3 linked regions of the Lepisosteus oculatus genome follow. The main gene of each other region encodes a partner of the protein of the gene in region 2 in a complex. Links are inferred from orthologs where the notes say so. Each region holds a gene or a part of one and is shown on either strand. Other genes may lie near its edges.

What was found. Proteins that work in one complex are often made in the same cells at the same time.
Region 1: nup188 (region 2) and nup214 share a complex: the UniProt entries of both Homo sapiens proteins name them as parts of the nuclear pore complex. The link is inferred for Lepisosteus oculatus from reciprocal best matches to the Homo sapiens genes NUP188 and NUP214.
Region 3: nup188 (region 2) and nup85 share a complex: the UniProt entries of both Homo sapiens proteins name them as parts of the nuclear pore complex. The link is inferred for Lepisosteus oculatus from reciprocal best matches to the Homo sapiens genes NUP188 and NUP85.

What each region holds. Positions count from the first base shown.
Region 1 is NC_090719.1:15,565,247-15,573,232, forward strand, and holds the start of nup214 (nuclear pore complex protein Nup214), read right to left. Parts: upstream 3,219-7,986; 5' UTR 3,200-3,218; intron 3,054-3,199; exon of another isoform or gene 3,019-3,053; intron 2,912-3,018; exon of another isoform or gene 2,488-2,911; coding exon 2,446-2,487; intron 1,781-2,445; coding exon 1,585-1,780; intron 1,059-1,584; coding exon 907-1,058; intron 516-906; coding exon 317-515; intron 1-316. UniProt on the Homo sapiens protein: Part of the nuclear pore complex. Has a critical role in nucleocytoplasmic transport.
Region 2 is NC_090719.1:7,420,797-7,429,018, reverse strand, and holds the start of nup188 (nucleoporin NUP188), read right to left. Parts: upstream 3,028-8,222; 5' UTR 2,993-3,027; coding exon 2,967-2,992; intron 2,087-2,966; coding exon 2,032-2,086; intron 1,545-2,031; coding exon 1,471-1,544; intron 1,283-1,470; coding exon 1,198-1,282; intron 699-1,197; coding exon 618-698; intron 493-617; coding exon 448-492; intron 1-447. Other genes in the region: dolk (dolichol kinase), read left to right, coding at 4,279-5,850. UniProt on the Homo sapiens protein: Component of the nuclear pore complex (NPC), a complex required for the trafficking across the nuclear envelope. Required for proper protein transport into the nucleus.
Region 3 is NC_090704.1:44,419,743-44,427,436, forward strand, and holds the start of nup85 (nuclear pore complex protein Nup85), read right to left. Parts: upstream 3,219-7,694; 5' UTR 3,205-3,218; coding exon 3,097-3,204; exon of another isoform or gene 3,066-3,096; coding exon of another isoform or gene 3,033-3,065; intron 2,314-3,032; coding exon 2,220-2,313; intron 2,122-2,219; coding exon 1,959-2,121; intron 1,415-1,958; coding exon 1,344-1,414; intron 1,202-1,343; coding exon 1,158-1,201; intron 851-1,157; coding exon 781-850; intron 131-780; coding exon 9-130; intron 1-8. Other genes in the region: small ubiquitin-related modifier 2, read left to right, coding at 4,962-4,982, 7,198-7,329. UniProt on the Homo sapiens protein: Essential component of the nuclear pore complex (NPC) that seems to be required for NPC assembly and maintenance. As part of the NPC Nup107-160 subcomplex plays a role in RNA export and in tethering NUP96/Nup98 and NUP153 to the nucleus.

The DNA of each region.
Region 1 (7,986 bases), about 8.1 Mb from region 2:
TACGTGCAACCTGTTCACCACAGTATCACTTCAACAAGCTTTATCCAACACATTGATGTGAAGGATTGACAACCTTTTAACTGAGCAACACCAACTGATAAAGGAGAATATTAATTTGACAAATCACAAAAATAGAGATGAAGGGAAATCTCTCTCTCTCCCTGCCACACGGTACATGTAACTTTAGATATGTCAATACAACAACAGTGCTTTAAGGCCTTGCACCTGCATCACAACCCATTAAACAGATCTGTTCATCTTAATGGGCTGAGCACACTAATCTTGGGGCGGATTAGCCACGGAGGAGCACGCTCACCACATGTGATTCCCTCAGTGGGGGGCAACTGAGCCTGCAGCTTGGCACTGTCCAGGACCTCCAGAACCAGCATGCTGCCGTCGGACAGGCAGGCCGCCAGGAGGGAGGGCAGGGCCGGGTTCCACTTCAGGTCCTTCACCGAGGTCCCCGGCTGCACGGCCGGCCTGAGGCTGGTGAACGGCAGCTTCTCTGGCCTGGCCTGAGGGGAGAGGCACGGCCACGTCAACGCGGTGACCTTCTCCTTCCTTCCTGACGTTAAAGCTATAGCTGCCACGAGCGCTGGCACTGAATGACAGGCTATACGGCAGGTACACTCAGCCTCAGGGCTGCTATTCAAGTGAGCTGCGCTGCCAACAGGTGGGGAATCTGTTCACTGCCACCCGGGAGGATGTATTGCTTTGTGTTATAAAGCTGCAGTCAAACGCAGTCTTTTTTAAGAAACACGCAACTACAGTGGTTCATGCTCGTCGCCATCCTCTGCTGGAAGGCTATTTTTCCCATTAATGCTTGAAAGCTCTTTTACAGAAAACCTCCTCTAAAGCTCCAGGGAGACGAGATGACAGAAGGAGCTTTCAGTGCAGAAAGCCTACCTTATTGAGCAGAGTTCGGACGTCAAAGAAAGACAATTTCCCCCCCCCCTCAGCGGACAGCGTGCACACCGACAGGGTGAGCTCATCACAGCTCAGAGCCACATGGTGCACAGGAGATTCCAGAGCAACGCTTGTACCATTTACACCCTCCACTGAAAAACAGAGAAATCCAGATGAATTCCTGCATCAACATGAAACACAGCCACAATAGAACTGCAAAACAAGAACATACCATAGCAACACAAAACTGATAACATAATTGATCAAAATGTAATTATCACGAGTATTGTATACAACTAAAAGCACAAGTTATGCTAATCTTTTACAGATTGTGCACAAGGATACACATAAGGCTCCTATAACACAGCAATCTGATTTGGTTTAGAGCTGTGGGAATCTTCTTAAATGCATACAGGTAAAGCAAAAACAAATGTTTTTAATATTGCATTTGTTTACTGCAATGCAAGAGTACTCAAAATTATTTTACAGGCTTTAGAGAGCTATACAATTTTGGACCAAAATGTTAGGGTACAGATCCTAAGTCTGAATTTGATACAGGCAAGTGCAAGGATTTTCTCTGGCTTGACTATATTGTTTAAATCTAACTGGAAACCAATCAGCTATGATCCATGTTCACACTCTGCTCAGAAGTAAACACCCTCTGAAGTCACACTGTACCTATTTCGTTGGGATTGCCCTCAATCCGGTTTGCTGCAACGATGTCACAGGTTTGGAACACTTTGAGCTCCGTGTCATAGCCTATAAACGTCAGCCCATACTTGTTGGAAACTGCAAGCAGGTTAGACCTTTCTTTCGGCAACTCCTCTGGGGTGTCAAAAATGCGGATCTTCTTCATCTGCCTAAATTGAAAATCCTGCAAACAACAAATAAAAAGCATTTAAGCCGTGCACGTACTCTTTGTCCTCCTTAAAGTCTCTTGTAAAAACTGTTTACTGAAGTAACAGACACTGACAGTGCTGTACAGTTACGTTACAGTCTGTGGACCTCAGACATGAAGTTTATCCCTCAGTCGCAGAGGCAGCATTCCACAAGAACAAGATCTGTTTTTTGCAAAATGATTAAAAAGCACCACCTTCCATTCCAGCAGGAATAAGACGGATTTACATATGTATACGATAAATTCAGAACTTTCGAAACGAAGAAATGAAAGTGAAAACAACACAGGCTCAAATGTTTGCCGGCATCCTCGTAGATAATGGGTATGGAATAGAAAAAACGTAAAGCCTAATCTAACATATCATCAAGAAAATAATTTGAATGCTTAACTTAAAAATATCGTATAACTCTAAGGCAAATAGCACATTACAAAATAAGAAAATACATTCTAGACATACGAAAGTGTGACAGGAGTATCTAAATACTTTTTTAAGAATAGCTTTATCGTGTTTCGACAATCACAGCTGTCACTCAACCACGGTAAAAGTCTTAAGAGAGGCAAACCACGAAGATGTCGTGCACTCGGTACTGCAAATCGACCAATGTAAACTGAAAGCTTCACAAATTGTTTCAAACACTTACCTTCATTTCCCTTTCGGGAATTGCGTCCAAATCGTCGCTCATCTTGTATCACCGCAAAAGCAACGGTAAATTAATAAATGCAATAGCAGAAAAACAGTCAACTGTATTAAGTTTCAAATTAGTCTGAAACTCAAATTCGCAATAGTTTCATGATTCTCCTGACACCATCATGGCTTCTGTCTCAGTGCGACTGAGAATCAACACATCCGTCGCATGTCTTACGTCACAGATTCAAAACTATGGCGCCTCCCCTTGAGAAAATCAATTTACTGTATTATCCGTCACGGTGTCGTGTTAAACATTACTAAAATTGATTAAAAAAATTAAAAGTGTTTCATTAGCTGTTTCTGTGCGTGTAAAACTTTTCAACCTCTTGTCCTGGCTGGAAAATTGAATTCCTCAGGAAAGTTACAGTGGAATGTATCAGGAAAATGTTGTTAGAAAATTTAAACTGATGAGCTAAAATACATATTGTGTGTGTGTGACAATACTTGCTACGTGCTAATATATGACATAAATTAAAGTAATACAAAACTAAATGGTTAAAAATAAAACACCACTTGGAAAACTCACAATACTAAAATAGTCCACAATGTGGCGCTGTTTTTCTAATAGTTTCCTTACAGAGCTCCGTGAAGTTGGCCCCCCTACAGAGCACAAACGATCAAACCCACTTCATTCGTTTGTGCAAGTTTGTGCCAGTTTGTGTCGTTGAAAGTAGTGTTTGTGCCGCTTTCGTTCCCAGATATAGCACCTTGTTTTTCCGGTGATCATGTAACCATGCACGGCGACCTTGACCTCCAGTGACCCCGCCTTTACACGTCCCTTGGTGCGTGTTTATTGAAGAAGGAGACGGTGAGAAACTGATCATTTCAGGGTTTTTTTTTTTAAACACACACTGCTACGAAGTATTGAGACGTGCTCGTTAAAGCCTCTTGGTAAGAACATGCAATTGTTTGCTGGTGTTCTCTCTTTGAGACTACACCCGCAACTCTTCTGATTAGGGTGTGTGATATTCGTGACAAATCACTCCAACGCACAGAGGACACTGATATTTAATGCAAAATCCACCGCCGCCCCCCACCCGGGCAAACAGAGGAACACAACTGCAGAGCCGTTCCTCTCGCACCCCTCACAGACGCTTGAACTCGGGGTCACTGGAGGTCAAGGTCGCGTGATCACCGGAAGGACAAGGCGCTATATCTGGGGAACGAAACCGGCACAAACGACTGAGACCGGTCCGGTTTCCCTACGACGTTGTAGGGGTTCTGGGCAAGGTCACCCCTGAAAAAGAAGACGTTGTATCTAAGGAACGAAAGCAGCTGGGAAGTTACTTTCAACGGCACAAACCGGCACAAACGCTGCACTAACGATTGAGGTGGGTTTCGTCGTTTGTGCTGTGTGTAGGCGGGGGCAACTTCACGGAGCTTTTCATTACAGGCTGTTGGGAAGTACGCGACGGTTACTCATAAATGTGATTATGATCCATTACTGCTACGGAAAACAACATGCTGTTGTTGTTTTCCGCAGACGGTCGCCACTGCAGGTTGAGCGGGCCGGCTTACCGGCGCGGTGACGTCACCGCCCTTCCCTGTGAATAGGGAGGGCGGCTCAGGGAGATTTCCCTTTAGCTCAACGGGCGGGGTCCCTGTTGAGTGACCGGAGGCCCGGGTTCGAGTCCCTAGCGGTGGGGGGCCGACCTGAGGTGGGCACATACCCCCGTGAACCCGAGAGCGCTGCAATATATTCTTTGAAATTCTCCCGATAATTAGACTTGTTTAGATAATTAGATTTGTAATGCCTTTATCTATGGTGATAGATATTCATGGGACAAAATTTCACAAGTGACCGTAACAAAGTTACTGTGCAACGAGAAGAGTGATGTATTGAAACTTGGTTTGAATCATCACCCATTGAGGTAAGAAACAGAACAAATACAATGTACAGAATTATTTTTGTACAACACTTTTCCACCCAAAGATTTTGAAATTACTTGAGAGACTGTATGTACTGTATTATTATTATTATTATTATTATTATTATTATTATTATTATTATGTATATATTACTGTACATTAATACATAAAATAAATATGCCCACTGTATTCACCCCCCTAGGAGCCCCACTACACTGCAGATCAGGTAAAGAAGTGCAAAATTGCTATAACTGCAATAAAATTAAGAGGGAACTTAACTTGGTGGGTGAGATTTTGAGGGTTTAACAACCTTTCTCTTACAAATAGGGCAATGGGTCTTTGGTCTTTGGAAACCAAGCAATGAGAACCTCAGATTAACATTATTAAAACATTCATATCCCTGTATTTAAATCTGATATAGTTAAAAAAGGATCAAAATAGATCCACATTTATTCCTGTATGGCATCTTAATAATAATTCAGATTGAATGTGTAGGTTTTAGCACTATTGTTTTTTAACCAAAAACATAACAAAACAACAATACTGCAAACGGCTTTCTGATTAACTGACAATAAAAGAAAACAAACAGTGTTTGTACTTGGAAAGGTCAGTCCCACTGATAAGCTTGTAGCAATTGTTTTACAGTTGGTTTCATTTCCAAAACCCTGGGTTGGACAGACTCAACAGGTTTTGCATTGAGAAGCCTACTGTTGACTTCTTATTGTAATTGCAAAAACGTTCGAAAATGTCTAATTAAATTCTGATTCATTTTTTAAAATGCCATTTCATTTATTAGACATCATGTTTATGCAGTTTGGTAACAGAAAAAAACTCAATCCATAAACAACAGAAAGCCAATCAGAAAGTCTGTTACCCTGAAACAAGGTTAAGGAGCTGTAATGCATTGAATATTCCTAACTTTTTAACAGCTTTCCTTATGTGCATTTGGAGCCCTGTTGATAATTATTCTGACTGTTGTTCTGTTGTTAACTTAAAATATCTTACTTAGACTTAAAGTTAGATCCAAATGTTCCTTTTACTGTTTGGTTATCTGTTAACCTTACTTTTGAAGTATTAATATTGTGGCTCTCTGATGTGTCTGAGTACATGTTCTACAGAATATTGAAAAGTACAACACAAAAACGGTCAATATCTTGACAGTATAAATCCATGAGAAAGTTAACAAAGGTGAGAAGGCTGTTCAGTCCACCTTGCACATTTGACTGCTTGTAGATAATTTATTCCAGAGAACCTTCTTGCAAAGCCTTTAACTGTTGATTATAATATAAAATCAACCTAATGGATGAAAATATTGTCTATATGTAACAAGGAATAGTTAGACAAGTGGGCAACACAATTCCTGAATTATGACTTTTAATACTCTGTCATCAACTAAAGACAACTTTAGCCTGGTCTGATTATTTTGGAAAGTTTCACCAAGGAGGAAAGGGACATGATCAGTTCCCATTTTCCTGTCTTTCTTGTTACAGACACCCACCACTATTTTGGTAAAAAAAATGCCTCCTGTTTCCAGTCCTAAACCTCCCGCTTTTAATTTCCATTATTCACAGATCTTGATTGTACAGTATAATTCCCTTGAGTTGAAAAGCAATATCCTTTGAATTTTGCCTGTAACTGCCTTATTTATTTTTATACGGTATTCAGAATGTTTAAAATATAACAATAATTCTCTGATCTGTCAGTTTACTGCAAACAAGTATTTTAACTAGCCAAAGTGTTCTAACTAGTGACTAGTGTTTAGAACATTACAGGGTGCAGGCAGTGTAAATAGGTATTAAAATATGGCACACATACTGTATACTGTAAAGTCTCCTTCCAGTGAGTCTCATTTACATAATGTATGGTAAAAAGGGTTATTTCTGTATAATATAGTAGTTCTTTCTAGTTTATTTCTAGTGTTATCAAGGATTCAGCTTATATTATAGTATTGGTAGCAGTGTGAAATGGCAGTTAGGTGTCTAGACTCATAATTGGGAGGCTTGGGTTTAATTCCTGGGTGGGGAACTCCTGTTACACCTCTCAGAAAGATACTGCACTCAGACTGCTCCAGCAAAATGCCCAGACATGTAAGTAAATGGGTACACATGTAAGGCGGTTTGGGAATAAAGCATCGGTTAAATAACTAACTTATTATATCATGTTATAAACAAGCAGACTGTTTAAAATTAAATAATGAAAATAATCTCCTTAGTCAATCTGTTGAATATAAAACTATCTAATCTAATTTCTTCTTTTCATTTAATCGGCGTTGTGGCACAGAGCTAATTAAAATAGAGCATGGGATTACAGTGTCACAGAGCTGTGAACGCCAGGCTCCAGAAGTCACATGTGGAGCCCAGAGTGCACATGTACATTCCTTCTTCCCTTCCTAATAGCTCTTGTCAGTCAAAAGCATTCGTGGTCAAGAAAACCCTAGTCTAGAAGAAAAGAGACTAACACGTCGGCTTTGTATTCTACACACTAGGTGGGAGATTGCTGGAATAATGGCAAGCGGTAATGGAAAGGACCCTACGGGGAAGATGCAGACATGTAAGAGTTTAGATTGTGTTCATGGAGTGCTGCTCAAAATTCCCCAACAGAAAATCCTTAGTTGAAGAGCAACCCTTGGACAAAAGGCTGTAGTACACTGCAGAGAGCCATAATCTAAAACCAGCATAAAAGGTTAAGAAAATGTCTGCTTCCATTGCACTCTGTGGTCAAGGACCTGTGCTGCCCGCACAATAAACCCACTGCAGTCAGCTGCAATGTCCTTTCACCACTCAGGTTCGCTCCAGTGTTCTGGGCTTTATGGGCACATTGTGGTTTATTGTTAGCTACACCTCAACCAGGAAGGTTTTAAAGTCTCTTTCATAAGAGCTGCCAGAAGCCTGCACATGACATGCGAGCCCTGCAGGCCAGACTGCGCTGCCTAATCAGGAGCGTGATGAACAGCCTGGCTTTTTGAAACCCATGTTTGCAACAGCACTGCTAAGCGAGGCAGATAACCGGGAGCAATAGATAGCCATCTCAATCTTCCCCGGGTCCATTCAACAGTCTGCTCATTAGTCTGCTGTTAGAAGTTAGAATAACCTATTTATATATCTCATTTCATTTGCTTTTATACTAAAGCAAGGTGAAGCTGTATCAGGAGCATGTCTTTATCTAAAAAGGTTGCTGGATTCAGAGACTCAGTCTTGGAGAGCCAGAGTGTCTGATTTTCATTCATCTTAATTATTAAATTAAATTGGTTATTTTGATCAGAACTGAAGTTTTTTAGGTCTTAATGAGTAGGTAATTGAAACATGCCTGTAAACACCTCAGGATGCCAGCCCTAGAAGACTGAGATTATTCGACAGTGGTCTAACTTCTCTGCAGTCCACAAAGTATGATATCGTGTCTTAGAAATAGTGTGAACGGGAGATCAGTAGTTTTGTTTTCTAAAACTAGTTTAATGTCTAATAGGATTAAAATGAGTTGAAGGTGCCCAACTTACGTTTGCAAATAAACAGAATAGAAATTTAAATATAGTGATATTTCTGTGAGGCAGAAATGTATTCTCCTTCTAACTCTGGGCTTACAAAACGCTCCAGAGAAATAGCTGTTTTTGACATGAACTCGTGAATAT
Region 2 (8,222 bases):
ACTTAAAAGGTTCAGAGAAAATAACTTGTATGATTACTGGATTAATTACACGATCATAGTCATGTTTTCGATTTTAAGTTTGATTGTAATTTTAACAAAGGCCTGTTCTTTTTTTCTATCTTAGAAGTTGTAATATATGCATGAATGAATTGTCCAAATACCCAATATACAACAAAATATGTACAGACTGTTACATTAGCTACCATCTCTGCTGCCAGAGACTCACAGACTCGGCAATTTTAAAACCTGCTCTTGCATCGGGACTCCTCTGTCTGGCCACGCTTGCCTTTGTCTTCAAATGGCCTGGTTTGCACTGTGCATTGGGCATCTTCTGATTAACTTCGAGAAACTCATGTCCCGTGCAGATCTGGTCAAGCATTTGCACCCCTGTTACATCATCAGGGTCTGATCATCTGATCTGCAGTTTCACACTGGATTCCAGCTTACCTTTAACAGCAGTGCTTGGCTCTGCCGCTCATCTTGCAGGACAGACTAATGTAAGAAAGAGAAACAAACAGATCATGTGAAAAGGGAAAAGTACTTTCCAAAAACTATTCCGTTTCCAGGTTGGTGAATTTTTCTATTTCATTATTAAGGCACTGGAAATCCTTCTCTACCTTTAAGGCATCCCTGGTGCCTCTGTAGTCTTCCTGCAAGTAACACTGCAACACCTGGACACTCTGCTGTTCATCAAGGCCCTGGAATACAGTAAATATACCATGTTGACATGACAAATCTGTGGCAATTTATTATCTCAATGGCAAAACAAAATCTGATGTTGCACATTCTCCATATCACAGGCTGCAATAGTACAATTTCTAATTACTTTATTAATACAAGTAGTTAATTTAATCAATTGCAAGAACTTGAATATGCTTCAGCACCTCTTAAAGAATAACAGAGCATTTTAAAGCACACAATCTCATTTAAAAAAAACTCACAAAGGTTAAAGATTATTTTTCACAAAAATAAACGTAAAGAACGCATAGCCAATGTAGGCATGTGTAGGTCAGGCACTATAACATTCCAATTACATACCGTATTGTACTAATTGGATTAAAGAATATGTTTGACATAAAATTCTGCATAATAATATAAAATTCCATCCAAAGGTAATTTATATTTTACACTTACCTAAACAGGAGATGTAATCCATTCTCAAAGATTACATTTACAAATAAATCTCATAACACTCACCAATAATTTACTGATTCTGAGACCAAAGTCTTTCAGTGGCTGGGCAACTTCTTTATCTGACTTCAGTTTTTCTGCAGCCGATGAACTAGAAAAAGAGAGATGCAAATATCAGATTACTGAATTAACTGATTTTAGATGTTTTGATTCTACGCTCTGTTGTCTGAATAATAGCAAACATATCTGCTTTGATCTTAATCATATATTGTACATTTGAACTATGATGCTATATAAAAAGGTTTACCTTTACAAAATAAGTGTTTATCAACAGCATACCTAGGTGGTTTGTAGTAACATAATCCTGATAGCAACCGCTCCCAGTTTCTGTCAAGCTCTGCTTCAATCTGGGCCTATTATTGAAAGATAAAACACGAATGCAGATAATAATGACAAACACATACAGCTACGCCTGTGATTCCAACAACAGTTACAGTTAAGAAAATCTAAAATACTCTAGATTTAGCTTTAATGAAAACCAAAGAAGAATATTCAGGTATCTATGACTGACTTCTTTATACATTCTCCTTATCCTAATAATTACATTTTATTTAAAAAATCACCAGTCACAGACTGCTCCCTTTGTGTGGATAAGAATGTTGCAACATTTTTCTCAATGTTTATTCACAGCATTAACAGGTTTTCAAGAAAATTGCTAGGCGGCATAGCAAGTTTCCCTGATCTTCATACATGTTTTCGGAGATGTAAATGGGAGTCATATGAACAAATTATGTAACAATACCAAAACCAAGAAAAAAAAACAAAATTGCACTGCTGATAATCATTTTTTAATTAAAGGGTTGCATATTCATGCAAACAGAATACGGAAAAAAACGTTACCGGTTCCCTCAAAGCCGATCTTCCCAACAAGATCGTCCAAAGTTCTCTGCTGGTCCTACAAAAATAAACGCATTCATCCCTATAAAAGTGACGAAAATAATCATAAATGACATTCCACGCACTTATACTTAGAGATAAACGTGAACATTTAAAAGCTTACACATCTGCGGCATATTAACACTGTTACGTACATTTCACATCTCACTGGTACGTCTGGACGCTACACACGATTTTTAGGGTCAGAAATAAGGAAAAAAAATACTTTACTCCAAAGTTGAAAGTGTCAAAATCAGATTCAAGTTACTGTATGTTCAAACCTCCGCGTTCAACTGTTTTGACATTTCTCGGCAGTTCTGTGTTAATGGAAGTTACAACATTTTGACAGTATACGTTTGTTTTCTTTTAAATTGTCTTTATTAAAGGGATGCAGCGTAACGGATCGTCCTTCGCATGAATTTTAGGAACCAATAGCCTACATTCATTCAAAGAACTAGGCACGTTTTCAATCTAGTTTTTAAGCAATTACTTCTGTTATAACATTGGCAATAAACCTAGATAATAGGACCACCGTACTATATAGTCTCAACAAGTTTTTTCTATACTGTTAATTGTTCTTGATCCGAACATTATTGGAGTATCTCGGAACATGGTACTTGTTATATACATATTTCCTGCCAATGAGAATAAGAAGCAATGTTAACTGCCTTCTAAAAAATTTCACTAACATGCGGCAGAAAACAGCACACATTTTTCCCTCCACATTGTAATAGCCATCCCATTTATAAAAGTAAGAACTAAAAGGAAAACGTCCAAACGTCTAAATAACTATTCATTCATTTCATTTTATCCTTCCTCATTACATTTCCCATTCAGACATGATCAGTTTTGTACAATGCCATACATTAAAAGAACACTTTTGCTTTTCTTTCAAGTACCTGACACACATCTCCGAGTCCGCCATATTCCCCCCTACACGTGACACCTCCTCCGGTCGAACACCCTGGTCATGTGACGGGTGCCCCGGGTTGGAAAGAATAAAAAAAACACTTCCGAAGCCGGCAACTGAGATGCGATCACTGTGTAGGAAGCAGAAAATAAAATCCGCCCTATTCATGTGATCAAGCTGTCAACATGGCCGCCTCCTAGATGTTAAAGACTAAAAAAAAAATTATACGATCGAATGAAAGTACGCACAAAACGTGTTATGATCGCGGTGGACATGTGAAGTAAGTTAATTAACACATTTTATGATATCTGGGTAGTGTTATCAGTTGGCTTTTGCAAATTCATGGGGATGTTGCTTGCATGTCAGATATCTTGTACCTTGCACCCAGTTCCGTTATGTTGTAATTTCATACAATCGATTGGCTACCAACCAGTCTTGTTAAACCACAAAAGGCCTCAGTTAAAGCGGACTCGAATGCATTTACCGTGGAGCTCTTAAATATCCATGCGTTTCTCGTGTTTTCAATTTTGAAGCTTTTAACTATGGATAGGAAATTACGCACCTGCAGCCAAAAAACGCTGTCTGAAATACATTGTTTTATACAATAGCCGTTTAACAATGTCAGTACTAGTCTACTTCAGTGGAGTGGTTTTATGAAAAAGCACAGCGTTAAGGTAAGCTGACTGTCAAATTGTTACATGTTTCACAAGCTTTGTTAGGAACAGAGTGGTGTTTGAAACAAAGAGCATTAATGTTTTAAAGAGAGGAGGCCATCCTGCTGATCTAAGTCGCTTGGGTGATACCGATACAGTACTAAGCTAAGTGATCCGAGGATTTCGTCGGGCTGCGTCTTGAAAGACGACATTACACGACCATAAAAGAACGTTTTTATTCTCTTCTAACCGGATACTCCGCGGATGTGTGATGACGAAGAGTTTTATTAAATGTTTTATTACGTGGGGAGTAAAAGCACGTTTCCATGATTTGCTTACTTTTATTACGACAGAATTGTAGTATTTTGCCCTGGCCGTTGGCATTTCTAATTGGTGACGTCTCTCGTGTCCGTGAGGGTACATCGGCTTGCAAATACGCTATAGAAAAAGTGACAGAATTATAGAGTTAAATCATTCCACCGACCGAGACTAACACTGTAATATATATATATATCGATAGGTGGCGTAAGAATGAAGAATGGAAAAATGTGAAGCATTACATCAAGGAAGTGGCCTGCCCTGGATGCAAGAAAATACCGATAAATAGCAGTTTTGAGAAGCACCCCTGAAGCTGCAGGATCTGCAACCATGCTGACGAATCCTGTGTTCGTGGAGTCAGTTATTGTTTTCACTATTGTTTTGTGTGTCCATTTTGTGGTTTGGAATCAGCTGTCATGGTGTTCCATTGCCTTGGCCATTCAAGCCTTCTATGTCCAGTACAAATGGGACCGCCTCCTGAAATCTGGCGGGGCTGTGTTTCAGTTCAGACCCTCTGCGAACAGTGGCATCCTGCCCGCTTGCATGATCATGCCTCTACTTGGCCTGGCCCTGAAAGAGCGCTGCCAAGCCTCCGGAAATGTGTACTTCGAGCGCTTTTCAATGGTGGTCACCGCGACAGGGATGATGCTGGCTCTGTTTCTCTCCCTGATTGCCCTCGGCATCACCAGGCCTGTGCCGACCAACACCTGTGTCATTTCTGGCATTGCTGGTAGCGCCGTGATCTACACGATCAAGCAAACCCTAACGGTCTCTGAAGTCATTGAAGTGCTGGAGGTGCTTCTGATCTTCGTCTACCTCAGCCTGATCATTCTGTACCTCCTGCCTCGCTGCTTCACTCCTGGTGAGGGCCTCATCATCATCGGTGGTATTAGCTTCATCATCAACCAGCTCATTAAGCGCTCCCTGAATGCCCCTGAATCCAAAGGAGATCCCATCAACTACTTCCTGCTAGTGATCGTGGTTGGATGTCTCTTGCTGGGGATCTTCTTCACCCTGCTCTTCTGCTTCATGGAGTCGGAGACCTGGGTGTCCTCCCTGTTTTTCCACATGATGACGGCAGTTCTTGGCTTGGGGATTATCATGCCATGGCTTGCCCTCCTGATCCGAAGGCACCCCTTAATGTGGCTGATCGACTTCCTCCTCCTGAGTCAGAACAGACTCTGCCTGCTGGCCTACTGGGTCCTGCTGGCAGTGCTGGCGTCTCTGGTGGTGTTCCACCAGAACTACAAGAGGTCTTTGGGGTCCAAGAAGCACCAGGCCTCTACAGTCGTGAGGAAGTACTTCCATTTCATTGTGGTGGCCACGTACGTGCCCGGGCTGATTTACGACCGTCAGCTTCTGCACGTCGCCTCCGTCACCTGCTTGGCCGCCTTCCTCCTCCTGGAGTACGTCCGCTACTTTCGGATCAGACCCGTCGGGCACCTCCTCCGGCAGCTGCTGTCTCTGTTCCTGGATGAGCGAGACTCCGGGCCCCTCATCCTCACCCACATCTACCTTCTCCTCGGGATGTCCCTTCCCATATGGCTGTACCCTGGACCCTGCATGCCTAAAGGAAGCCTCCCAGGAGTGGGGGGACTGGTGCCCTATGCTGGTGTGCTGGCCGTCGGTGTTGGGGACACTATGGCATCTGTGTTCGGCAGCACCATGGGAGAGGTCCGGTGGCCCGGGACCAAGAAGACCATGGAAGGGACAGCCACTTCGATCTTCGCCCAGATTATTGCTATTGCTCTTTTCCTCATTTTTGATGAGGCCATTAACTTGAACACCAGCTATGCTTGGATAGTAGGATCAGTCACACTGGTTTCTTTACTAGAGGCCTACACAGCCCAGATAGACAACCTCCTACTACCCCTTTACCTTTTTATACTGCTCATGCTATGAAGGTAAAAGAACATTAAAAGCCCTTTCATTTTTTTAATGCTTGTACTGTATCTCCTTACAGTACTGAACAGAAAGTCATATTGAAAATATTCCAACAGTTCAGGGGTTTGAGGAGTTTGAATCAAATTGCATTTCTACATTTACTGCTATTTTTTTGAAGGCAAAGCAGCTTTAGCTTTGGAATGAGAAGAATACTGCACTCTAAGGCTAGCTGTACTTGAAAGCACTTTGGTTAATCAACACTGGCCACTTCAACACTACAGCAAGAGTAAGATATTTAAGGCAGATTAATCACAATTCAGTATAGTTATGGGTGGTCATAGCAACATAAGAAGTAAAAAAAATGCTATTTAGTGTCTCTGTGGCAGTGTTAGTTTTTCTATTGTTTGGGTAGAATTTAGGAATTGTATTTTGTCAAAATAGCGCTGATAGTACTTTAGCAGTTTTGTTCCTGAGTGAGTATTAAAAGGGGAGGCTCAATATACTTACTGTAATATATCCCTTTGCAGTTCCAGCTAGCGCACGAGTCCCAAAAGTATTTCATAATATTTTTTTCAGATGGTGCACAGCAAAGAGAAGTCAAAATACTGTTTTTCATTTTGTAATATGTAGTTTAGAATCAGTTTACATCTGACAACAATTACACCACCTAGTGATTATGGAAGTAAATTGTGAATGGTGATGATGCCTTTTCCTTAATCAAATGTACATTTTTCTCACCCTAAAGCTTAAGCTTTATTGAGGAATTTTTTACTTGAATTTCTCCGTTCCATGTTTCCTCAGCTTTTAACATGATTGCAGCAGATATTTGTCAAACCACTATTTTTTTTTCAGAATGTAAATTTGTCTTTCTCATTTCTGTGGAAGTACTAGAAATATTAAGACTTGGATGTGAAAAAGCATTGTGAATACTATATCATTACGGGCACCGAATTTAGCTAGAGAAAAATGTAATAATTGAAAGTATAGATATGTGATCTATTTAGTTTTTATTAGACATTTTATATGACTGAACAAGTACTAAAAATAACAATTTCAGTGGTGGAACCTTCTTCAGGTTTTTATATAAAGGTTTTTAGGTTCTTCTGCATAACCTAATATAAGCTACAGATTTAAAACCTTGAAAATAGACCTCAGTTCTGTATTTGTATTTCCTCTTATAGCTGTCAAGGAATTCCCTTGACTACAGTTAAGTTTGGCCACCAATCATACGAGTAAACACGACTGCCTTAAATATGTCTTCTCTAAGACCAGCATGTAGTAAACTATCTTTTGCCTCTACTTTGGCTTGTAAGTGAGTTGCCATGCTCTGCATACTCACTAGATGGCAATATGCTACATCACTAAGCCAGTCTTCTCAAAGTACTGTAAAATATATCTATTATTTAAACAACATTTAAAAAGTCACTTGTGCATTATGTAACACTGTCATACAGAGGGAGGACACATAGTTTAGTTTCTAATTAGGAAAATTCTAGCTAGCTAAGATTCTACAACCTTCTTTCTGTTATATTCACTGAAGATTGATCTACATATCCTTAATGTTAATTGCTGTTGCAACACACTAGTAATGTCTACAAAAATAAATAGTATCCCAGGTTGCCCTTATTTTACTTTTCAATTGTCCATTTTTTATTTAAAAAAACACCAGATTTGAAACTGCGCTTAGAGTCCTGGTCCTTTCTTCAACACAATAGACTGAATTGTATTCAGATGCTGCATTTCTTGTACTGTATGTCAGAAGAAGCAGAGTTAAAAACTCTCAGTTTCAGGGACAAAAAAAAAAACTATCCTGTAGGTATTTAATTATTTCGCAGCAAGGTATTGAAAATGGCAGATCATCCTGCAAGACTTTAAAACCCAGCTACTGAAAGGGTTGTGACCGTCGAGGACAAACACAACTCCTGTAGTCAGTTGTAAGTTTCAATCATTAGAGCAGCTCACAGCTGTTGCCCTAAATGTAACAGATTGTGTGTTATGCAACAGCAGGAGAGGAGAGGTATTACCGAAACACACATGCTTCATAAAAGGGGCTATAAAAATAGTTTTGGCTGGACTCCCTGTTAAATCGCAGTGTGGTGCAGCAATTTATCAGAACACTCCAGCAGCTAAGTAAGCTCTTTGTTTCATTTTGTGTTTTCATTCGTCTGGGGAAACCTTGTTCATTTTCTAATTAAGATGATTGTGATGCCACACAGGTGCATGTCATAGCCTGGTGGTACTGTGAGGCTACATTGTTTTTGGAGAGGCCTACACATTTCTGCCAGTGGCTTTCTATATTGTTTTAATTTGGGCCAACTTTTTATTTGGGCCAACTTCTGATGTGGTACGCATTTCATAAAGGCAACCAAGAAAAGTGTTTTAGATATGTT
Region 3 (7,694 bases), on a different chromosome or scaffold from region 2:
CCGCGTACCACGTCCCAGTAGGAAGGGTGCTGCGCGGGGCTCTCGCTCTGCAGAACCTCATGAGCCTGCTCATCGACGCCGGCCTTGTGCAGTCGAACCCAGTCCAGAAGGTGCAGCAGAAGGGTGCCAGCTTGAAAGGAATGATTGCAAACATTTACCGTTAACCACATGCAAGACAGCTCATCACTAACCCTGCACTCTCTCCCAACACACAGGCAGGGCAAGGTGAGCCTACACAACCATTTTCATCTGGCTGAAGGTCAGTGTGTACAGTGGCTTTCCAGAAGCCAAGATTAACCTTTCATCTCACCTTCCCCCTTCGATCAAATGAAAAATTATTTTTAGAACCTCTCCATCCATTTACAGATTTAATCTTTTCACACCTCTCCCCCAAGTCTCTCTTTGTTTGGACACTTTTTCTCCCCTTTCTTTGTCTCATCTTTCTTACTACGTTTCAACATGGAATTAACCTTTATTTGTTCCACTACATTCACGCTGCTGGGAGACTGAGCATACAGGAACTACTGTTAAAACCGCAAGCTTCCCATCTTGACCAGATGCAATTAATAAACCCTTTGTAAAAAAATCACCATCCAAATTAATAAATGTAATTAATTGTAATCACTAGGAAAGATGGGAATGTCATACAATACTTTACAGAAACTGGAAGGGGCCAGGTTTACCTTCACAGAAACACTATCAACCTTTACCCAAAAACTAATGTTCACGAGCTCATGTTCATGAATACAGTCTGTAAAGTTGGATGCATAAAACACAAACCTGGGGCAGCATCGATGAACAAGACTTCACATAGATTCCAGATGAGCTCCACTGCCAACAGAATTGACACCTGTATGGATATGCACAGATCTTTAGTTTGTCTGGAGAACGTCAAGGGGTAAAAAGACCACTCTGTCCATCTTTAGTTACTTTCAGCCTTATGAGTTTTACAGTTTCCTAATTGAAAGCTTTTGAGTTTCCACAAAACGTCTCTTGACGTGATTTTTTTACCTCCTCCCCAGCAACTCTGCTGAAGCCCAAGGGAAGATGAGAATTGCAGCAGTGTCAGAAGCTATGCTTTTCCACAGTTTGCATGCAATCAATTCAGTTACATCAATGCGTATGAAGCAAGAAGCTTCAAAAAGAGCTTTCCCAACCTGATTGCCATACTGTGTTGCTAGAGCCGCGTCACGTGCAGAAACTGCAGGGAACAGAAAAATCACAACAAATTAATGGCAGTGCTAAGAAACCGAAAAAGGATAGTTTTTAAAAAATCACCCTGCAGATACTGCTGTCACAGCCATGAGACATGTTCTGCATGACAGGAGTGAAACTCTTGGTACCTGCATTCTGTTGGAGCTCCTCCATACAGGCCCGGATCACTGATCGGTAGTTCTTACTAATGCTGACAAACCTGCAAATACAGGAGGACAGTTCAAGCATCCTGCATCGTGTCTGGGTTTGCTGTGAATTGTGCAGAGAAGTCGTTTAATCTCATTTTTAATTCTCATTCTCAGAGAAGTCACTCTTACAACCCCTTGAGTTTTGGGATGTGTTATAAATGTTACATGTTGTTATGCGTTATACTGTACATGTGCAACAGAGTGATGTGCAATGTTTTTCTTATTTTTATGTAATAGAATAATGTGCAATGTTTTTCTTTTCTTTTGTTTGCATTCTATTTAAATGTACAGGAGTGCTAGGTGTCCATAAAAAAATTCACACAGGGGACAATAAAAATCTTATCTTATTTGACCACAGCATTTAAAAAAAAAAAAAACTTGAAATGGTACATTACTCGTCACAATGACCAGATTCATCCTGCATGGATTTTACCCCACATGGATGAGAAACGTTACTACGACAAAAGAACAGAGCCCCCACCCACACCCCCGTCAGATACTCAAAATCAGTAAGCCATCTTTCTACGGATCTCCATGGTGACGGAGGCCGTGTACCGAGGCTTCTTGGCCTTGCTGGCGGTGTCGTCTGTGCTCTTCTGCAGCTGGACGAAGATGTGGTGGGACTCGTTGAAGAGCTTGCGCAGGATGGGAGAGTAGATGTCTTCATCCTTCCTGACCATGTGGATCCACGGGCAGCTCGCAAACGCAGCCGGGGCTCCTGACGGGGCGATCAAGGAAGAACAAGTCTCCGTTTGAGCTGTAGCAAAAAAAGAATCACCCAGAAACAGGCACCGTGTAACGGCAGGGAAGCCTCACCTGCTGTCTTGTACTGAGTTTCATAGGTCAGTATGTCCCTGGGACCCCACACAAAGCCCAAGTGCTTCTGCCTGAAGTCAACACCTGGGATGAGCTGCAAAATAAAATAATAATAATAATAATAATAATAATAATAATAATATACTTTAAATCGAAACCAGGAGTCAGACAGGACACTAAACGCGTCTCTGTGCTACCTTTTATTTTCTCTAATCAAGTGGTCTTGTTCAGGACTGAGCTGTGCATTACGTTTTTTTTTTATAATTAAGTTAAATGAATCCTTTTGTCAAATCAGAAAGGGGTCCTGAACAACATGTTCTCGTTCGCAGTGAGCACCGGCACCGGCAGTGAGCTGCCTGACTGAGAGAAGACGACAGCGGCGAAACGTCCGGGATTTGAACTCACGACCCTCCTCCTGCCCGGCAGACCAAAAAAAAAAAACCCTTAACATTTACTCCTAGCTGCAAGAAAAGCGATCCCCTGAAACCATCTCCGAACAATAAAAAGAGGTCGTGAAATGCTGTGCAATAATGTTTCATGAAGTTCTGAATGACCAAATATCCTAATTTCACCGGGATCGCGTCAAAGCGCTGGCACAACTGGAAACGTGACAAATTCAGCCTCAAATTCAAACAGAGGCGAAGACCACTCGTAGTCTTTATTACAGCCGCCTCTTCTTCATTTCAGGAGCTAGCAAACACCCGCTTTCTTTAGGCAAATGTGCGACTACAAAACTGAACAGACATCCCTCTACAGTGTTTCTATACGGTTCCCCCCCCGAGTTACAAATTATAAACCAGAGAGAGAACATACTGTTGTGGTCGGCTCGACATCCACCTCCTCCATTTCCTACCGAAAATGAAAAAAAAAAATAAACCTTTGCAAAGATGTTTCCTTCCGCAATAAGTGAATCAAAAAAAAATTCGCATGTGTAAGAAACTAAGCGCATTGAGATTTTTGTAAAAAAAACGAGACAGGACCCCATGTGCCCGGGCTTGAGCCGGACTGTCTACTCAGATGCCTGCGTAAAATATTGTGAAAGCAAAAGTGTTGAACGCAGCTGATGGTTGTTCCTGGGTTTCATATCTTTTAAAACCGCGTTTAGGCATTTGAGTTTTTGTGTGATTTATTCACCACGAAATACGGCAGTATTTTAGACGTGGACATATTTGTTTCAAATACATACTTTTTAAAAAATATATATTTTTGTGATCATCTGTGCTGGAGGGAACCTGCTTCTCAAACGAAAGGAACTGGTCTCTCTTTTCACATGTGAACTGGAACAGAAACATAGTGGGGGGGTATTTTTAAACTGGAGATTGATTTTTTTTTAAATATAAATGATCATTTTAATGTTTGATGAAAATACAAATGGACGCATTCAATTAACTACTGGGTTTACGTTCGAAGACTACTGATTGTGGTTCTAATGCTGATGTTTAAAAGGTCAAAGGATATGGTCGCTTACTTCTTAAATAATTATTTATTTGGATGTCCATGTGGCACAAAGCACACTTTTTCATATAATTTTGGGTCTAGCTGGTAATAAACCTGCCCCTTCGAGAGGGGAGAAAGAGAAAGGCTTTAAAACTACTTATTCAAAGATGTCATACAATGACATAATACCTTTAACAATTCATGTTTATTTAGAAAAACGACCAACCACAAATCCTTCTCAATAAACACACCAGATACAGCATCAAACATTTAGAACTACATGAAACAGAAATTCTGTTGTTATTACTACTGTTGACACACTGTATAGTGTGGCTATAATAATCAGTGTTCAACGTTTAAGTGTCAAAGAGCATGGAGGAACCACTATAAATTATGTGATATATGCATATAAGCTTCAAAAGAGTTTTGCAAGTTTGCTTTTCTTACTTTAAGAATCTAAATGTAAGGGTAAGTGGTGTAGTTATAAGATATAGGTAATTACTATTGTATGATGAAGATAGGGCCTGCCCCTGTGGTGAACCATGAGCAACTGGGGGTCAATTTCCCAGTGTCCCAGTAAATCTTGCATTTCATATGCCTGAAATGTTGGAAAGCACAACCCAGGGTAATGTTTATTTTAAATGGCAAATTCATGAAATTATGTCATGGAATTGGAATTTTGGCATTTACAAAATAATTACTTTGTCCCGCGAAGAGTAAAGCTAATTATTAACACCTTCTTGGAAAATGTCTCTCTTTTAACTGAAAAAAAGGGTTTGACTGTGTCTTTGTACTGTGGATAATTTGTAACTGGTGAAAAACAACCCACCACACAGGAAAACAAGATGGCTTCCACAGCCTGCTCCATCAGAATTTTCCAGAAATTGTCCTTTGGTCACCTACATTCCCAGAATACACTATAATTATGAATGTTGTTTTAAATGTCTATCCCAGAAGCCAGGGCATGAGAAAAATGTTACTTTTCGGTCGAGTGGGATTCCTTTATGCTTCTCTCTATCCGTGTAAAACAAAACAAATTAAAAAAGATGAACATAATTTTTTCGCCATGCGCGTGCACGAGCGGCGGCGCGGCGGCCAATAACGTGGATGACGTCACTCCCGCCTAGGCGAGCACGGGGAGCCGGCCCTCGTGACCGCCTCCGTCCAGTGAGCAGCGGGCGCCGCGGACGAGCAATGTCTCGTGCCCGCGCACGCCATGCCGGTTTAATGAGTCGGCGGCGAGGACGTGCGCGCTCCCGACTTACTCTTTGTGTGGCGGCGTAGAGAGACGCGGAGAGGAAAGCCATGGCGGACGAAAAACCCAAGGTGAGCAAAAGAAAAAGCTGATTACGAAATGCCCGCGTCTTCCTCATACGCGTTATTTCCTAAGTGAGATCGATTCATCGGTATCTCCGCTGACTTGTGAGCCAAGCGATCGGCGAAATCTACCGCTGGTCTAGCACCGGAAGGGATGTGAGCGAGCCTGCAGAGGCGGGCAATCAGAAAAGATCTTAACTTTTTTTTTCTTCTTTTTAGTAGTCGTTTTCTAAAATCGAGGAGTGCCCCGCTTCTGCGGCACGCCGCGGAGGGCGGCCGGGGGCCCGTCCTGGGGGCGAGGGGGCCCGGTCTGCTCTCCTTGTTTTGGGCCCAGTGTGGACCTCGCGTGTGTCGGGCTGCGCGCTCATTGGGAGTTGATGTCTTCCAAAACACCCCGGCGGCCCGGGCTGCCCGCTGATGCCCCCTCTCTCCCCCGGACCACCGCCGCCGGTGGTGTCAGGCTCGTCTTTTTCCCCTCCCCGTTCGCTTCGGGAGAGGCCGGGTTGGGATGTCTGGCGTCGGGAGAGACGGGGTGGGTTGGGGGGACGGGGGACGCACCTTCCACTTTCCACCCGAAGTTTTGAGCCGCTTCTAAGGAAGGGCGACCTCCTCCACAACACACGGGTCGGAAGCCGGCAGTGGTAAAAAAAAAATAAAATAAAGAAGACCCTTACGGATACATCATCTGTCCCACCTCCGCTCTCTACCTGAGCAGATGATGGTGCTCACCAGATGCCCAAAGTGTAGCTCTTCCGTGCGCAGTTGGTCTCGCTGTCTGTGGGGGGGTGGGGTGGGAAGTGTAGTTGTCAGACCTTTCCCACGAGCGTGGAGATATTTTCATGGACACGAGCATGCCGACCGGTGACACAAAGGTGTGTGTTTTTTTTTAACCTGGACAACTGAAGTCATTCGTTAATGTTTACAGTACTTTTCTCAGACGCACAAAATCGCATGAGTAAGATAGTGGTTTCAAATAATAAGTAGACATTGTAGACTTATAATAAGTTGTGAACAGGAGTAAGTATTCTAATTCATAACATTTATGTGCTAACTGCAAAACATGTGGTTTTTCAGTCTCTAATCCAAGAAATATGTGGATTTTATACTTTTATACTGTGCACTTTTACGTACCCTCTGTAGAGTTAAAACCGCTAAATGTAAGCTTATTGTTGTTTAAGCGCTGGGAAAAAAAAGTTTTGTGGGTTTCCGTGTTGTGGAAGATAAGCTGTGGGGACAGTTTGCTTCACAGCCTTACCTTTAAAGTGACTGCTGTCTTATTCCATGGGACTCGGGGTTTTTGCTGGCGACAGTGCCACGCAGTGGAAGGAGAGGAGTAAGCACAGGAGCACCGATAGGAATCTGGGGGGGAACTGCGAAATGTTCCTGTAGAATTAAAGCAAGCCGTGCGTGGCTTAAAGCTTCTTACAGGCCTTGCAACCATCGTTTGGCCTTTTCTGAACAACATCTAGTTTATGCTCGCTGAGCCAGACTTACCGATTCCTTAATCCCTTCTTCTTAGTTCAAGCTCCCAACTCTCAGGGGTGGTTTTAGCTGAGGACACCTTGCACCGAAAGGTTTAGGTTTTGTGGTTGGCCTTCCGTGTCAATCACCTGTGCAGTGTATGTGTAGGTCTTAAACTTTTTTTTTACAAAGAAGACATGGGTGATGTGACGCGAATACACAACCCATTTATTTTCATTTTGTGTGAGCGTTTCTGTAGTGGCTTGAACGAGATGTATTCTGCAGTCCCTCTTGTTAAAGAATATCTATCCCTGAGAACGAAATATGTGGTACATGCTAAGGTGGGGATTTGATATAGAAGCATTTCTAGTTGGCAGGAGTTTTTCATTGATCTAGAAGCAGTATAAACAACCTGGAGAAGATTCATCACAGTGTTCTTCATTAATGCATTCTTACCAGACTCCCTCAACGGGAATCCAGTCTCAGATTCCAGATGAAGAATGTGAAGAAGGAAGACTCTTGAAGAAGTCTTATCCTGATTTTATGTTTTTCACTAAAAAAACCCAAGTTGAGCTGCAGCATCTCCTTTTTTTCCCTCTGTTGGTAGATCTGTAGACTTGAGTAATTTGCCCTGTTTGCTGCTTGAGTATATGGAGAATGCCAACCAGGGAAGAAGAAGGATAATAATGTGAAGACTCACCAGGCAGAGGCTTCCCACAGAATGAGCAGGTTCTTATTGTGTCTTGTGGCTTCTGTCCTTTAGGAAGGAGTGAAAACGGAAAACAACGACCACATTAACCTGAAGGTGGCGGGGCAGGATGGGTCCGTGGTGCAGTTTAAGATCAAGAGACACACGCCACTCAGCAAACTCATGAAAGCTTACTGCGAGAGACAGGTATGGCTGGGGAGCAGCGTGTAGGGGTGGGGACATGCACAGCCTTGGGTTGGAGGTAGGCACTCAGCTTTTAATGCCATTACTGCACATCAGACATTGGTCCCTGACATCCTTGGGGTTTCAGTTTCCCCAGGGGCTTAAAATGCTTCAGAGCTTAATAGAATATTTTGTAAATGGTATGTATTCCTTCATTTTCAAATGCAACGGTAACATTATTATGAGTGACAAGTTACATACATGTGGGAAACATTTAGGGATTTTTATTCTTCTTTGAATGTTTTTTTATGTAAGATGCCTAAGGCACTAGAAGCTGTTCAGATAGACGGCTAAGTGTTACTGGTGTTTAATGTAAAACACCCCCTGCT